Linked DNA regions of Kluyveromyces lactis. The protein of the gene in region 1 interacts with the protein of each later gene in a pairwise test. Links are inferred from orthologs where the notes say so. Each region holds a gene or a part of one and is shown in the gene's direction. Other genes may lie near its edges. The genes, in order: RAD18 and RAD5.

Evidence for each region.
Region 2: the proteins of RAD18 (region 1) and RAD5 interact in a two-hybrid assay, tested with the Saccharomyces cerevisiae proteins (4 studies listed by BioGRID). The link is inferred for Kluyveromyces lactis from reciprocal best matches to the Saccharomyces cerevisiae genes RAD18 and RAD5.

What each region holds. Positions count from the first base shown.
Region 1 is NC_006039.1:765,150-768,598, reverse strand, and holds RAD18 (E3 ubiquitin-protein ligase RAD18), read left to right. Parts: upstream 1-1,468; coding exon 1,469-2,752; downstream 2,753-3,449. Other genes in the region: HCM1 (Hcm1p), read left to right, coding at 1-957; GTPase-activating protein SED4, read right to left, coding at 3,098-3,449. UniProt on the Saccharomyces cerevisiae protein: E3 RING-finger protein, member of the UBC2/RAD6 epistasis group. Associates to the E2 ubiquitin conjugating enzyme UBC2/RAD6 to form the UBC2-RAD18 ubiquitin ligase complex involved in postreplicative repair (PRR) of damaged DNA.
Region 2 is NC_006042.1:1,601,625-1,606,219, reverse strand, and holds the start of RAD5 (DNA helicase RAD5), read left to right. Parts: upstream 1-1,588; coding exon 1,589-4,595. Other genes in the region: DLT1 (Dlt1p), read right to left, coding at 1-976. UniProt on the Saccharomyces cerevisiae protein: Probable helicase, member of the UBC2/RAD6 epistasis group. Functions with the DNA repair protein RAD18 in error-free postreplication DNA repair.

The sequences.
Region 1 (3,449 bases):
GGCAGTACCACGTCCAGTTTTAATGGATCATCAATTGCCTCGTACAATAAGTCGAAAAGGAAAAATAAGTCATTTTCAATTTCTACCATGGATGACAAATCGAGTGATATTGGTGACGCGGGTGATACTTCCTTGGATCAAAGCAGTGACGGTGACGAAGAATCAACTTCAATAACCAATATACCTTCATCGCCACGATTAGGTGATCACGCCGAAGCTGCTGGTCATGGAAGCCATCAGTTTCCGGCTACGGATAAAGACTTCCTGTATTACGAAGATGAAAATATGGTCAAAAGACAAGACTCTAGTCATCTGGTGGGCCCGTTGAAATTTAACCATCGCTCTGTCAGTGCACATAACCATGAATATGATGATTTAATGGTTGCTGCCGTCTCTTCTCCTAAATTCAAAAAATATTCGTGTTCTTTCAACACATCATTTGAACCCGTATCTCCGATGAACAAGCTGCAGCTGCCATCAGTTAACCAGCAAAATTCAAAGACACCTATTAGGGAAAGCTCTGTCACTCCTCTGAAATTCAATATTTTTTCAACACCTAAAGATTTCAATAAAGATGGTCTGAACCCACCGGCGTCTACCAGAACTTGGCAAAGCCCGTCTCGTCTATTTGAAGATTATTATGCGTCATCACCAGTGTTTTTCAGAAACGTAATCAATCAATCTATAGATGATTGTATGATACAGTATGACACAGAAAAGAAATGTATTGATTCTCCCCGAAAGTTGAGTCTCAGAGATCAAACTTCTCCCAAGGAATCCAGTCAATCAGGATTAATTGATCACTCCAAATATTCATCAAACATTCTTTTTGGTGTTGATGTTTGTTCAGTGTGGAAAAGGGCGATTGCTCATTGTAACAGCAATGATGAAGTAGATAGCTATCGAGAAGAGGTAACAAAAAACGATTTGGACCCTCCTTTTGATGGGATGAACTAATGTTTGCTTTCTTTTTCATATAGAGTCTGTCGTTATCTCGATGACCATATTTTTTGTTTTTCTTCACAATCTGCCTGACGCTTGGGTTTCTTTATATGGCTGAGTTATTTGTCTCCTTTATTTCTTTCAATTTATTTCATTCCTGCGTTCAATTATTGTAGTGTACGCGCCTTTCTTTTATTCATTGGTGTCCTTTTTAAAGTATTTTTATTTGCAATAGTTATTGCTAATGTATGTATCATTATATCAATCATATTTAATTCTTACATTTCCTTCTAACCGATATTTACAATCAAAGGATATTATCCTGATAGACCATATGGCTTTGTTATTTGATCTGACTTCGTTTCATCGTTGTTTAATTAGCTCTGAATAGTGCTTCAATATTATGCCATACTTTGTAAATTACTAAAATACGATAAAAAGAAGCTAAAAGCAGATAATCCGAGTTACCTTCTGAAAAGTATCAAACATTAAATGCTGGAGTGCAGAGGAATCAACCAGAACTGTCATGAAGCTAAGTGTACCTGAAACTATATCGAATCCTCGTGATTTTCTTCACACGAGTGTTCCGCAACTTACTGACCTCGATTCACTTCTTCGATGTCATATCTGCAAAGATTTTTTAAAGGCATCGGTCTTGACGCCATGCGGTCATAGTTTCTGTTCCATTTGCATAAGAAAGTACCTTCAGAAAGAGAGCAAATGCCCATTATGTCTCAGTGACCTCACTGAGTCTATGCTACAAAAAGAGTTTCTAGTACAAGAGATTTGTTCAAGTTACGTGAAACTGCGAGGTTCTTTGCAGAAACACTTGACAATATCATCTCAGGAAGAGGAAAAAGATAATGAAATAATAATATCTGACGAGGCAGATACATCTGTAGGTACAAAGAGGGGTACTCCAGATAGCCCATCTTTATCTTCAGTAAGTACTAAAAAGAGAAAACATGATGGTATAACAACGTTGTTAATGAAAAAGAAAACGGATCATCCACAGCGGCAAGAGAAGAAGGCACAATGTCCTATATGCTCCAAGCACCTGCCGCTTTCAGAATTAGAAGGTTCGCATATTGATGAGTGTTTGAACAAAGGTAGTAGTTTGGAGAGATCGGATTCTTTTGAGATTTTGGATGAACGTACACCCTCCCCTTCGATGGAATCTTCGCATCAACCACTAGAAGAGAAGACTAGCCTGCCGTCTTCACATTTGCTAGAGGTAAAAGAAAAGAAGGATATCACGTACCATAACGAGAGGTACTTAAATTCTGGGCTGCTGCAGCAAAAGGAAAATAGATTACCAAGATTGGATTTTCAGTCTTTATCTATGACACAATTGAAACAGAAGCTTGCTTCTTTGGCTCTACCATCAAATGGCACCAAACAGCAAATGGTAGCGCGATACAAGCATTACGAAATGTTATGGAATAGTAATTTTTTAGATTCAATTGATCCTGTTGACGAAAATGAACTTAAACGTCGTCTATCCAGTTGGGAAGCTAAGCACAATACAGACCATTCTTCTGATAGCAATAGCATAACTAACCTTCTCAGGGGTAATAAACGTACTAATGCTATAAGTGCCATGATCAAACTTTTTAAAAGCGATAGATTTGATAGAAAAGGTTGGATGAGACATCACACGTCAACGTTTAAAGCATTAAAATTGGAAGCACAACGTTCCGATAAACTTGCAAAGATGAAGAAGGAAGAGCTCTCCCAGAAGAGTGATGCGAACTCAGAAGTAAGTTCGGAACCTATACTAAAGATTGATCAAACGTCAGAGAATAATTAATAGAATCTAATATTCTCAACTTTTCATTATTTATCGTATATCAGTATATAGTATCTATAATTCATCTTGAATGATGTCAGGAGATTCATTAAGGATATCTTCTCTTCCCTCTAAATTGCGACCTCCAGATTGCGATGGGGCTGATTGTACTCTTGTTTCCTCGACATTGCTATCACTTTGGGCACCCATAATATTTTCTTCGATTTCAGCGTTGGTAGGGTTTAATTCAGTGTCCAATATGTCCGAAGAGATTACAGGTGACTCAAAAGCTTCTATTGATTCAATATTACCGACAGCCTTAAGCTCGTTTAAGTCTGCAGCTGCAATTGAATCATCCATCGCCGATTATGAACTTCCCGATGTTGTTAATTCTTCGGAAACAGTAACTATGAATTCGCTTTCCTGATCCGCTGTTTTGGTAATGGAGGAAGAAATAGTAGTGCTGGATGAGAAGCTCGATTTAGCTTCTGTATCCTTTTCGGCAGATGAAATGTCTGATTCTTCGAGTTCTGTTTTATCAGTGGCTACAGACAGTTCAATTTCTGTCACAACGACTGTAGATGTGACAAGTTCTACGTCAAGGTTAGACTTTATTTGATCGATATGCGTAGCGGTATCTTCTTCCGCTTGTAATGAGGTACCTGGATAATGATCTTCTGATTGGACTTCATGAGCGACGTAGATATGATCTTCACTT
Region 2 (4,595 bases), on another chromosome or scaffold:
TATGTATGACGGTATTGTAAGTGTCTACTCTAGTGAGCATGTCATGATATCTTTGTTGGTCTTCCACAGATTCTGGTGGTTCTGCAGACTCATCTATATCGTAACTGAAGTTACTGGAGCGAGAGCCCACATGTGATGCAGGGGTTGTATTATGCATGAAGGCGTCAGACGGGTAAGGTCGTAAATATGGAGTTGAGAATTCGGAGTCCGTTCTAGATCTGGCATCAGTGTCATAATCTTCAGTAGGAACGTGAAGAAATTGGGATGGGACAGACTCGATTCTTGTTAAATCCAAATTATTCGATAAATCAGCGAGATATTTGTAGAGTCTTAAGAATTTTACGAAATCGTTTCGTTCAATATCTTGTCCACTAAATCGGAATTTCTCATAAAGCGAGATAAACTCATCCAAATACTGCTTATAAGGGTGTTTTTCATTCTCGAAAAGTTTATGAAGTGCTGTTTTGAAAGTTGTACTGAGATCCGATTCAGTGACAAAATTCAACAGCAAAGCCCCGTCGAATCTAAACCTATCAGAGATAAATTTAACAATTTCCGCATATTTCAAGTGTTCAGGAAACATATCACTGTCTTTTGGTTCCATGCCAGCATGTAAGACAGGCTCTTTCGGTACTTTAAACTTTTCCGCCAATTCTCCAGCTCTCTTCATATTTTCAATCACATATTCCCTTGAAGGTTTATGACGCATATCCTGCGCAGTTACTGGAATGTATTTCTTCGGTATATCTTGTAATGATCTTCGAAAGATCAATACACGAGCAAAACTAATAGAAATCCCAAATACCACTAATACAACAGCTGCACCGACCACAATAAAGGTATTAACTGCATCGTTGCTAGAGTCTGACGCTTGCACAATACAATCTAAAGGAACAACAACAGAAAAACCAACAAATAAAAGGATGAATATCACCTGCGTGGTATGATACCATATTTTATACCAACTTGTTACCATTCCAACTCATCTCTATAACAGTTATAATATAACATATAATCTCACACAGTGTGTCGAAAACGTACTTCTAAACGGAGATAAGTATTGGATGGAAACAGTCCTGGATTACAGTCTTCTCTGGTAGTAATTGAACTTAAACCCCGCAGAACCCCGCTATTTTCAGTTATCCAGAGTTAAGTCCGATCTTTTCGGGATTGTTAGCACTAAAACTCATATAGAATCCAAGTTCTTTCTCTCTCTCTCTCTATACTTTTATTGTCTGACATTGGGAAATGAAATTGTTTCGATGCTTTGAAATTTCAGCTTGTGGTACTTCATAGGAATACGAACCGATTTCTCTTTTGTTTCTATTTTGTTTCTTATTTCCATTATGTTTCCACAACGTGGTATTTTCTGGAAGTTTTCAAGTTCGAAGTTTTTTTTATTCACAAAAACTTTATTCATTTACGCGTCACGTGCGTTTGTTTTGCATTAAGAAATTGTTAACTTATTCGCGTCTCATCTCAGCTCATCTCTTTACTAATCATTTCAGGCACAGCAAAGGAATACTTGGAACACTACCCATATATATCTTTCAGTTGACCTGATTCTAGCAATACGGGCACCCAAAGTATGACACAGCCGCAAAAAGCTGATGAAAAACCAAGGTTCTTTCGTGATGAAGATGAATCTGTAATAAATTTGAACGAATCTCGATCTCTTTTTGTACAGGATGAGGCAGATGATTCTGATGATGGCCAAGGACATGTTGAAAGTTCCTCAGAAGTATCAAGTAATACATCTAATCATAAGGAAAGGTTTTTTGAATCTTTGAAGGAGATTCTTGGAGAAAATATGATTTCGTCCTCTCAACTCCACACTCTTTGGAGTTCATATGGTCTGCTCAAAGATGGTATAAGTATTGCAGCTGATAAATTCTTTGAGGACAAGGAATTACTTTCCAAAAGTAAAACTGAATCTAAAATGCCGGCTGGTGATAATATAGAGGTGATAGATTTGTCGGATGAAGAAAATGATGACGAATTGTCTATTCTGCCGTCTTCGTCCCAATTATCCCAACTGTTTACAAATAAGAGGACCAGCACCCAAGCAGGTTTAGAATCACCTATGTCATCTGACAAGGGAAGGAACCGATGGTCTCGTTACATTGGGTCTATTCATACTATGGGATTCGCTACACGGCCAACCGTAAAACCAGTTCCTATCGGATCCCGTTTAGGTTTTAAAAAATCTGTACCGAAGGATCTTCCCTTAGGTAAATCACTTCAGCACCAGCACTGTTCGCATTTAGTTCGCTTAATCGATACCTCACAGGATAGAGAACTTGGTCGAATGCCTGAAGATGTTGCAAGAATATTGTACCCACTTTTAGACTACAGCGAACAGGTCAGTCTGGAGCCATATCTTCTCATTAATAATGGTAAGAGATTCAGTGTTGGAGATAATATTTACATCAGAATTGATTGTTATTTGACCTCACAGGCTTTCGTCCGCATTGAAGGCGGAAGTATTCTGAACAAATCTTTTATCAATGACCATGGCATGGACACACGTCAGTTGCATCGCGCCGGAGCGATAATGGCATTGTTTGATGCGATAAATATACAACCAGTGTACGGAGACACCAAAAATGAGATGATACCTAACTACCAAGAAAACACTGTTTCTAGTTCCCAGTTTCAGGATGAAGCTTTGAACATCAATCAACTAAAATCATTTTACAGAATTACACAGTCCGCGGCCTCATTGCAAAACTTACCAGAAACTACCCCAGATGAATCACTTTTTAAATTGCAATTGAGAAGGTACCAAAAGCAAAGTTTGTCATGGATGCTCAAAAGAGAATACGAGTATAGTCATTTATCAGAGAAAGCCGCAGAAGTGTCTATTGATGGGAATAGTATGAATCCACTATGGAAGAAATTCCGCTGGCCATCTAATTCAAAACAAGGGACTCCAAACCACGAAGATGATTGCTTCTTTTATGCTAATTTATACACTGGTGAGTTTTCTATCGAGAAGCCGGTCATTAAGACGATAATCAATGGAGGTATTTTGGCGGATGAGATGGGTCTAGGGAAAACAATATCAGCTTTAGCATTGATTTGTACTGCTAGCTATGATGAGGCTCATGAAAAGAAAATTGAGTCAACCAAAAAGCCTTCTATGAAGGAGATGTCTTCTCAAGTGGATTCCTCTCCATTACGCCATTCTCAACATAAGCATGACACTTATGCTTACAGGACGACGTTGATAGTAGTGCCGATGTCCTTATTGAATCAGTGGCAATCAGAATTCGAAAAGGCCAACAAGGACCTCAAAAAACGTTGTGAAATTTATTACGGGAATAATATTAAAGATTTAAGGGCGTATGTGCTTGGCCCCAACGCTCCCTCAGTAATCATAACTACTTATGGGATAATTCAGAGCGAATATGGGAGAACCTCAACATCGGGATTATTCAATGTGGTCTTCTTTAGAATAATATTGGATGAAGGTCATACGATTAGAAATAGAAGTACAAGGACATCTAAAGCTGTCATAGCCTTGCGGAGTTCCAGAAAATGGATCTTGACAGGAACACCAATCATCAATCGACTTGACGATCTATTTTCCTTAGTTCAGTTCTTGAACTTAGAGCCCTGGTCTCACATCAACTATTGGAAGCGTTACGTTTCAGTTCCTTTCGAGAAAGGTAACTATGCGCAGGCATTTGATGTCATAAATGCAGTATTGGAGCCTGTGCTTCTCAGAAGAACGAAGAATATGAAGGATGTTGATGGCAAACCTTTAGTCTCTTTACCTCCAAAGGAAGTAATCGTCGAAAAGTTGCAACTTTCATCCAGTGAGAAAAGAGTTTATCAATCCATGTTAGAAGATGCGGAAAACTCTGTTAAAGAAGGGTTGGCCAAAGGTGATCTATTGAAGAACTACACTAATATCTTGGTCCATATTTTAAGACTTAGACAAGTCTGCTGTCATTTGGATTTACTCAAAAAGACACCAGATCTCGGAGACCCAGATCTTGAAGATCTGGAGAACTCAACTCAAAACATCTCCTCCATCCTCATGCCAAAAAATATTAAGTCACCAAAAAGTTCCATTTCTCAAGATAAATTGGATGCTTTAAGTGCGAACTTTCGTGATATTCACAGCGCTTCAGAGCAATTACCTTCTTTTGAATGTGCTATTTGCACCACTGAGTGTATTGAACCGCTGTCTGCGGTCTCTATAACAGAGTGTCTCCACACATTTTGTGAACCTTGTTTGGCAGAATACATTGAATTTCAGCAAAATAAAAAACTATCCATCAACTGTCCATATTGTAGAATGCCGATCTCAGAAGCTAATGTGTTAAAGCTAAAGGAGCCAATTGATGCTGAAAGAGGATATGAACTAATTTCGTTTCATTCACATTTCCAATCGACTAAAATTAAAGCTTTATTGAGGCATCTCAAGCAAATACAAGAAACTTCTCCTGGTGAACAAATAATCGTATTTTCTCAGTTCTCATCATTCCTAGACATTCTAGAAATAGAGCTACGTTCGCATTTGCCAAGAGATCAGGTAATTATTTACAAATTCGACGGACGGTTAGATATGAAGGAACGGACTAGAA